Linked DNA regions of Drosophila melanogaster. The protein of the gene in region 1 interacts with the protein of each later gene in a pairwise test. Each region holds a gene or a part of one and is shown in the gene's direction. Other genes may lie near its edges.

Region 1 (5,067 bases):
TGAGGATCACTTAAGTGCCCCAAAAGGTCATGTGTTTTTCTAAGGATTTTAATCATGCATAGCCAAGTTAAAAGTCTTAAGAGGGAAACTAGTGATGTTGCGTTTTCCAAGGACAACTAAAGTCATTCAAAGGATATTGTTTATCATTTCGAAAATGCATAATGTTTCATGTTTCATTTGTACACCATTTTATGTTTGAATTTGTGTGCTTACTCATTCTTATTTACAAGTGTTGACAAGTTCTAATAATAACATTTCGAAACCACGAAAGGAAAGATTCAAATATCCAGTGTTTTGAAGGATTGAAACTATGTTTTTAAGAAGTTAGTTGCAGTTATAAAGAATGTCAATTCCGAATTAAGTGTATAAATATTTTAGGCAAATTTTTAGTAGCTAGGTAGTGGCTATTTATTGCAACAGGCCCTCAAAAAATAATATGTAACTAATATTGTAATGTGTTTTCTTAAATTGTCACTTGTCCTGAATTTGTGAATTGATTAACAAGTGCCAAAAAAAAAACCCAAAAAAAAAAAAAAAAAAAAAAACTGCAGCTTAGACATCAGATTAGAAATTGCCGACGGAATATCGCAGAGCTCTGTTGAAAATATTCTGAGCGGAATTTTTAGTGCATATTAGAACTCTAAATATTAAATGATATTTCAATGATTTTTTTACTGTTTCTTTTTTATGTCAATTTGGCAATTGCATTGTATTATTTAAAGTTTAAATATTTCCATACTTCAATTTTAAATGTATTTGTATTATACTCAACTAAAACTTTTAAGGTTTTAGTGTGAAAGTAATTGTAATTAAAGATTACAATTTTCGATTTTAAATTTTGTATGAAAATGAATTAAAACGAATTGCCACATTTTTCATTTAGCCTTATTCATGTGCTTTACTACTAATTTTGTGGCATGCACATAAAATCGCACTTTTTTTTAAACCAGTGAATAAACATAATTATTTAAAAATGATAAGTTCATCATTTTTGTTGGAAAATGTATTAAAACTTGTTAGATTTATTAAAGCAAATTTATTGAATTTAATAAAAAATTTAAAAGAATAGTTTCGAACCTTGTTTTTTTTGTTTTGTTGAATTTATCAGTTTTTAATATTTTTCTTGCAAACCATTAAAATCGATCAGATTGCATTCCGTTTTAAGATTGATAAAAATGATAGTTTCAATTTTATTTGAGTGATTTGAGGGCATATATGGCATTATTAAAAATAATGCACATTCAACTAGAGTTCTTGTCCTGCGTATTAATTTGTTGGACCTTTCTTTGTCCTTTTATTTGAACCCCAAAAACTTTCGGGAAACATATGGCAGACGGTTGTGTGAGTGTTTGTGGGTTTTATTTTCTGAATGATATGTTGCTGCACTCGTACAGATTACGCATACGCTGCGTTGTCCACTGCGAAGAGAGAGAGAGAGCGAGCGAGCGAAAAGAGAGAGCGCCGCACCGTGCACTTTCTGCGATTGAGTGAAAGAGAAAAAGTGACTCGCGGTGGGAAACGAGGTGCATTTTGGCTCAGCTTTGCTGCGTTTTTCACCGACGCTGCTCTTTTACGAAGCGCGTGCGGCGCTCTTAGTACAAGCACACACCACTCACACACACACACACACACACACACACATACGTATGGACTACGATGTGCAGGGGCACCCACACATAGGCGAACGGGAATCACTCGGCAATACGAAGCAACGCAGTCGCAGTCGCAGCGCTGCCGCCGCGCTGCCAACGCCAATGCTCTTTGGGTTTTGGGCTTTTGGCCAGGCTTTTTGGTTTTGCAGCTCTGTCGGCTTTGGACTTTCGCAGAGATTTCACACGCGATGCGATTGCAGTTCTTGCAGACACTTTCATACGTTCGTTCGTGTTTATTTTCGTTAGCCTTAGCCGCAAACAGCAAATAAATTACATTTTGCCAAGCGACAAAATATTCAAATATTTTACGAATATTTGTACGGAAAATATTTTGGATTCTTTATCGTTTATTTTTTTTTTCTTCTTTATTTTTGTGCGCGGTTTTTGGAAACACGAATTTCGAGTAATAGGTCCTTTTGCATTCATTTCTGTCCTTCATTCATGAAATTAATTTTTTTTTGAATTTTTTTCAAGTGCTCTGCGTCGGTTTCTAACACTAGTTTTTGTATACTTTTTCCCAGGCATAAACTTAAACACAACAAAAATGTTTTATAAATATATTATTATAAAATAAAAAATTACAAATAAATGAAGTAACAGCGAAAGTTTTTAACAAAGTCAACAACAACAACAACCACACAAAAGAAGCAAGAAAATCCTTAAGCGTAATTTTTTTGTATTTCAACAATGCAACAACCACAACAACTACATCTACAACAGGGGCAACAACTGCAGCAGCAACAACAACCGCAAGAACAACAACATCAACAACAACCACAACAACCAAATGAAACAACAACTCAAGGCGGCTTTGCACGTGTGTGTGTGTGAACAACAACAACAACAACAACAACAACAACAAAAGCGACAACAAGCTAAAAACTTTAGAAAAACTTACAACAACTTTTTTGGACTTGGAGCATTTTTCGAAATCTAAACAGCCTAAAGTAAATACCGAAAAATATCCCGCAATTATTTTGTGTTTTTTTCCCCATCTCAAAAACTACAATTTCATTTCAAATAGAAAAACGCAAACAATTTAAACAAAAAACATGCTCTAAGGTTGTGTTAAAGGAAATTAAACCTATTTTGCACCTTAATTCTTTGATTTCAACAAAATTACAACAATTTTTTCCAAGTGAAAAATTTGTGCGAACCGCAGAAAACAGAAAAGTGGAAATAAACAAAAATCAAGTCAAATTTAATTCAATGCAAACAGCAAGTGCAACAACAACATCAACAACAACAACAACCACAAGAAATTCACCCAAAACATCAACAACAACAAAACCAACAACTGCGGCAAAGGCATCAACAACAACACCAACAACAAGAAGAAGAACGAGAACAAAGTTTTGAAACTGCGGTGTTTGGCGTTTATGGTGAGTTTTTTTTTACTTTTCAAACAATTTTTCAAATCATCGAATCATTTATTTGGCACTTCGTTTGCGATATTATTTTATCAAGTGTTTGCGTGGGTCAAAAATCGAACACGAAGTGCTACTCGATAAGAAAAGTGTTAGGTTTGGATGAATTTTGGCCATAAATGGATTAATAGCAAAAGTGTGAAGTGAGAGGAATGGAAAGTGTTGGACAAAAACTTGTTTGCGATTAATTTTGTCCATAGAAGCCTTGAATAAACTATAACTTTGAATTGCAAAAAAAAAACGGCGTTAATTAAATAAAATATTTGCAAAATTACTAGCCATTGGTGACTTAACTAAAATAAGGTGCTAAACAATTTAACTTTGATAAGAAATACACTTTAGGGTCATTGCTACTATAAATGTATGCTAGATATAATATTTTTGATTATATATATATAATATTTGTATATTATTATTCAGACAGACTTCAGTTATTGCTGATTATAAAGAACTTAATCGTAATGCCTATAGTTAAGTGTGAAGATAAACATAAGTTAGTTGATATAAAAAATGGCAATAAAACACCCAGACGTATACATAACTCTATTCACGAATCAGTTTTGTTACCCTTTCCATATATATATATATATATATATATATATATATTTTTTTTTTATCAACCGCTCTTTTGGCGACGACTGTAGCACTTCCCGTTTGAACCGGATGCGCTTTTGGAAAAATTTGCTGAATGTTATCAAATATGTAAAATGGAAATGCACTTTTCTGGGCCACAACAACTGGCAAAAAATAAAATGCATATATCGACAAAGCAAAAAGAGACAAAAAAAAAAAAATAAAGAAATAAATAGTAAGCCAATCAATAAATTGGCAAAAAGAAAAGTAAGTTAACTAAATGCTTGGTCAGTTTTAGAAGTCGCCAGCGAATAGAATCGGCAAGAAGAAAATTCTCGAACTTCCGGCGCCACCAGAGGCGCCAACTAATCATCGCTTTTTTTTTTTGTTTAGCTTAGTTAATCAGGAAATTGGGCAAAAAAAAAAAAACGCTAAAGAAATTGGAAAACTTTAAGATTCAACTTGAATAGATGACATGTTTTGTTAGCACTATAGAATGTTATAAACGTAGTGTAAGTTATGTTAGATTTTATTTTAAGTATTATAAGCAATATATCTCCTTTATATAGCTACGATTTGAAACGAATATAATTTATTAAGCTTATATAAGTGTTTTGTTCTAAAATTAAAGTGGATTTTTTTTTTTAAGAGAAGTCTGCACTTCATGTAATTAAAAACCCACAACACAAGACCTTAACAAGACGAAACGCACTGTCTAGCTTCTTAGCGCGCCTTATCCTCATTCCCATCGCTGTCTCTCGACTTTATCGCAATTATAAATATTTATAAGAAATGAGTCCATACAAACGAATATCATTCCCATTGCACTTGGTGGGGGGTTTTTGAGCGCCGTTTTAATGGCTTCTTTCGTGTTTTTTTTTTTTTTGTTTCTGTTTTGTTTTTCAAATAGTATTATTTTTTATTATTTTTTGCCATACTGCGCAGACGCAACAAGATTTGCAAAATATTCTAATATCATATAGTATATCATGTTTTATTTTTTGACATTTCCATTTCGTTTAATTTCAGTTACATTTTCGTTTGCAAAAATTCATTACAATTCGCGTAATTGCGTTGCCTTTGTGTGGATATTGTTCGTGTGTTTTTCTTCTCTTTTTTTATGTGCAACAGTTTTCGCTCGTGTGTTTTTTTCTAATTATTTTCCGCGAGTGTGATTGTGTGTGTGTGTGTGTGAGTGTGCCTGTGAGTGCAACTAATGAGCAACTGCCGGTCGACTTGCCAGCGGTTGAAATTATTAACTCATTATGGGGTCTCGGGTGTTTTAAGTGCCTCAAGTCAGCCTGTTTTGTTTCGTTTCGTATTTTTTCTCCTCTTTTTTTGTTGTTGTTTTTTTTTTTAATGGCTTGCGTGCGTTTTTTTTTGTTTGTTTGTGCATCTCTTAATATTTTTTTTTT
Region 2 (3,234 bases), on another chromosome or scaffold:
TTAAAGAAAGCCCAAAGCAAATTTTTTCCACATCATATATAAAACTATTAGGGCTACGCCGTAGTTCCTTCTGCTTTCTTTGCTGTCCAGATCTGTTTTGAATCGCTTTAGAAGTTAAACAATTGAAATGAAAATATTTGCAACCCATTTGCCAGGTTGCAAGTGCGCTTATCAGTAAATGTGCGCAGAACAAAGAGTTACAATTCAAGCAGCCAAGTACAATGGGTTGTACAATCGATTTACATTTGGCCGATCAGGGGACATGCAAACAAAGGTGCTGTATTGGAGCCTAGGTGGTCGAATGACTCAACCATCGATTGTGGGAATTGAATTTAACCTTTTTTGACAAGGGGCAGCCGACAAATGGTCTGCTGACTCACATCGGCGGAGAAGAATCACTGAAATTTTTGGGGGAACCTATAACAGAATCACTACTATGTGGACCAGCCGTTTTCCGTCTCGCAGAGATACGCTTACGCAGTTGAATTATTTTTAGGCATGAGCTAAAGTTGCTCCGAATTAAGATGGCATTTGCCCGGCCTTTCTGTTAGTATCCGACTTTAATCACTCACTCACTCACTAATTATTAAATTGAAAACACACGCGCTGCGCACAAAAAGTATCTCGTAGGTTCGTTTTTTTTATCTGTATCTGAGGAGCGCACTGGGCGACTGATCGCAGCGGACTCTCGAGACGCATTGAAGTCGGGTTCGGTTCGCCGGAGGTTGGACGGCACATCTGAGTTGGCTTGTTCGGCAACTTGTTGCAGATACATTTCCAGTCGCTTTGATGGTATTGGTGGTGCCGCAAAAGGAAAATCGATCGCTTGACAAACGGCCGACTGGCACGCGGACTGTATAGCAATTTATTTGTCTGTCAATGCAGTTCGATGATGGCGACAAATTTCCAGCTAAACGCCAAAAAGACTTTGCGACGCTTTCGTTTATCTGTATCTGGTATCTTTCGGCTGTATCTGCATCTCTTATCGTGCTACTAATTGTTTTCACTCTACTGTCATGTCGTCTGCTTATTACTTCTGTCGCTTTTCACGATTAAGCCAAATCGAAAGAACGGGTATCTCCCACTTCGGCATTATCTTTAGTTCGGGGGATTTCTTTATCGAATCTGCGCACTCGGCTTGCTCTAATTAACTCATTTGAACAATCATCTGCGGAAATGTGGCCCACTAGCCTTGACAGACAAATAAGATGTTATCTTTTCTGCTGTTTTTTTCTTTCAGTCTTATTTTCATTTTTTGCGACTGCTTTGTGCACAGTTAAATAATAATTGGCAAGAAAGCGTTAAGGAATTTAAAACGCGGAATGACTGGGCTAAAATCATTTTCTTTTGTCGCTCGACATCCACAATTTGTACGAAGTAAAAAACTTAAAATGCCACAAAGAAGGGGAAAGTCAAGAGACAACATCGGCAAACGATTATTGTGGATAGTTCTGGTCATCTACTTTCATTTGATCCCATTATATAGTTTTAACCATGAGCAAGAAAAGTATTTTTGTGTAGCTTTAATAATTTAACTGAACCATATCGACATTTTGGAATATCGAGCAGTTGACTGTAAATAAGTATATAATGAATGTATTTTTAGTATTGGATAATATAATCAACTCCATAAATTCCCTTAAAAGCTAAAGTCACTTTTTAGGAAATATGATTAGCCAAGCGTTTCCTTTCAAGTCACTGACATTTCATAGACATTACCAGATTTCTCAGTTTAATTTCTTAACGAATACTTGGAGAAATACCATTTATCCAGTTCAGAAACTATGGTAAGTTAAAACAAATGCAAGAAAAGCCGCGTGAACTGACCGTTCCATAAAATCTCAACCCCAAGTACCAACGATTCGCCAATTTGAATCTGGAGGCCCTCTATGGAATTCCGGCTATGTGTCCAGTGACCAATTGCCAGGCGCAGATGTCGCCACTCGAGATGCTGGCCCATCTGATGATGCGGCACAGTCCGCAGGACTCGATGATCGAGATTGCTGAGGACGTGCCCAAGCAGTACGAAGTGGATATTGATAAATTGACACCGGGTCGAAATCATTCGATTGGAGTCATCGCCTATGAGGGAGCCCCAAAGCCGGGTCTTAGTTGTGCTGTTACTTCGGATCTGCAGATTGTCCACCATCTGCCCATTATCCTGATGCTCTATGTGAGCCCTCCTATTCTGAACACCGAGCAGGCCTACATCTTATACCTGGTGAGTGCTGTGCCCTCCAGTCTGGTGAGTGCCAATGTAACACTCCTCGACGGATTCCATGCCCACGAGAAGCGCGGATGGCGTTGCCTGCGCAATTCCCTGGACAGTCCATTGATGGATAGTCAGAATCGGCTGTATTGCAACACGGACTACCTCCTGTACACGGCCACCGACATTCGGGAGCTGTGCCTCTCCGGAGAGCAGCGTAGGATCTTCGTCAAGATCGTGCTACACGGCGAGCCCGATCCCTTCCAAGTGGACGCCTAGCAAAAGGTGTCCGGACGAGTGACTCATTTGGTTCAATAAACACTTAAGTGCTGCGCCGCCAATTGACGCACACTTGAAATTCGAGTGGCTGTCAATAATATTCGTTCCTCAAAGAACTGTCAGTGAAATTGGTTTCCCTATTCATTCAATATTTCTGCTTTGGCTGGCCAGAAACTGGGTCAGACAGAGATATTTGGTTTTGTGCAGACATCAATCATGGGGGCCATCTAATTAGTTAGCCACAGGCCTCTGATTGCGGAAAATACTAGAGTCATTTCTTCTGACCGTGAAGAATGGGATTTTTAATTATGTGTTAAATGTTGCTGTGCTCTTTTTGAAAAAAACAATTTCGTTTGATTTTCTCTTTTCACTTTCGTTTCATTTTGTGACCCACTTAGTTGCAGTAGGTTCTTAAATGCAATAGCTTTTTAAAACGATTTTATAAACAATATAGCTAAACATTAAAATAAATGTATTTTTTAGCAAAGTATAAAACATAAGCAAATGCTTAGATCAACGCCTTTAGGTCTAGCGGTTAATCTCATAAATTATCCGAAACTATATAGAAATTAAAGAAACGCAAGAAACATAAACACCTACAAACACACAGATGCGATGCTATTTATAAGAAACTTAATTTTGCAAACATAAAACGAAAGAAAATTTATACCCCATTAAATACGAAACGATCTCTCACGGAAAAGTAAAAGGAAAAACAAAGATGGATAATCCAATAAAAATTAGCG

The links.
Region 2: the proteins of mamo (region 1) and CG31848 interact in a two-hybrid assay, tested with the Drosophila melanogaster proteins (one large-scale study listed by BioGRID).

Annotation. Positions count from the first base shown.
Region 1 is NC_004354.4:13,983,181-13,988,247, reverse strand, and holds the start of mamo (maternal gene required for meiosis), read left to right. Parts: upstream 1-1,805; 5' UTR 1,806-1,877; intron 1,878-2,173; 5' UTR 2,174-3,034; intron 3,035-5,067.
Region 2 is NT_033779.5:13,264,335-13,267,568, reverse strand, and holds CG31848 (uncharacterized protein), read left to right. Parts: upstream 1-1,692; 5' UTR 1,693-1,784; coding exon 1,785-1,787; intron 1,788-1,852; coding exon 1,853-2,488; 3' UTR 2,489-2,573; downstream 2,574-3,234.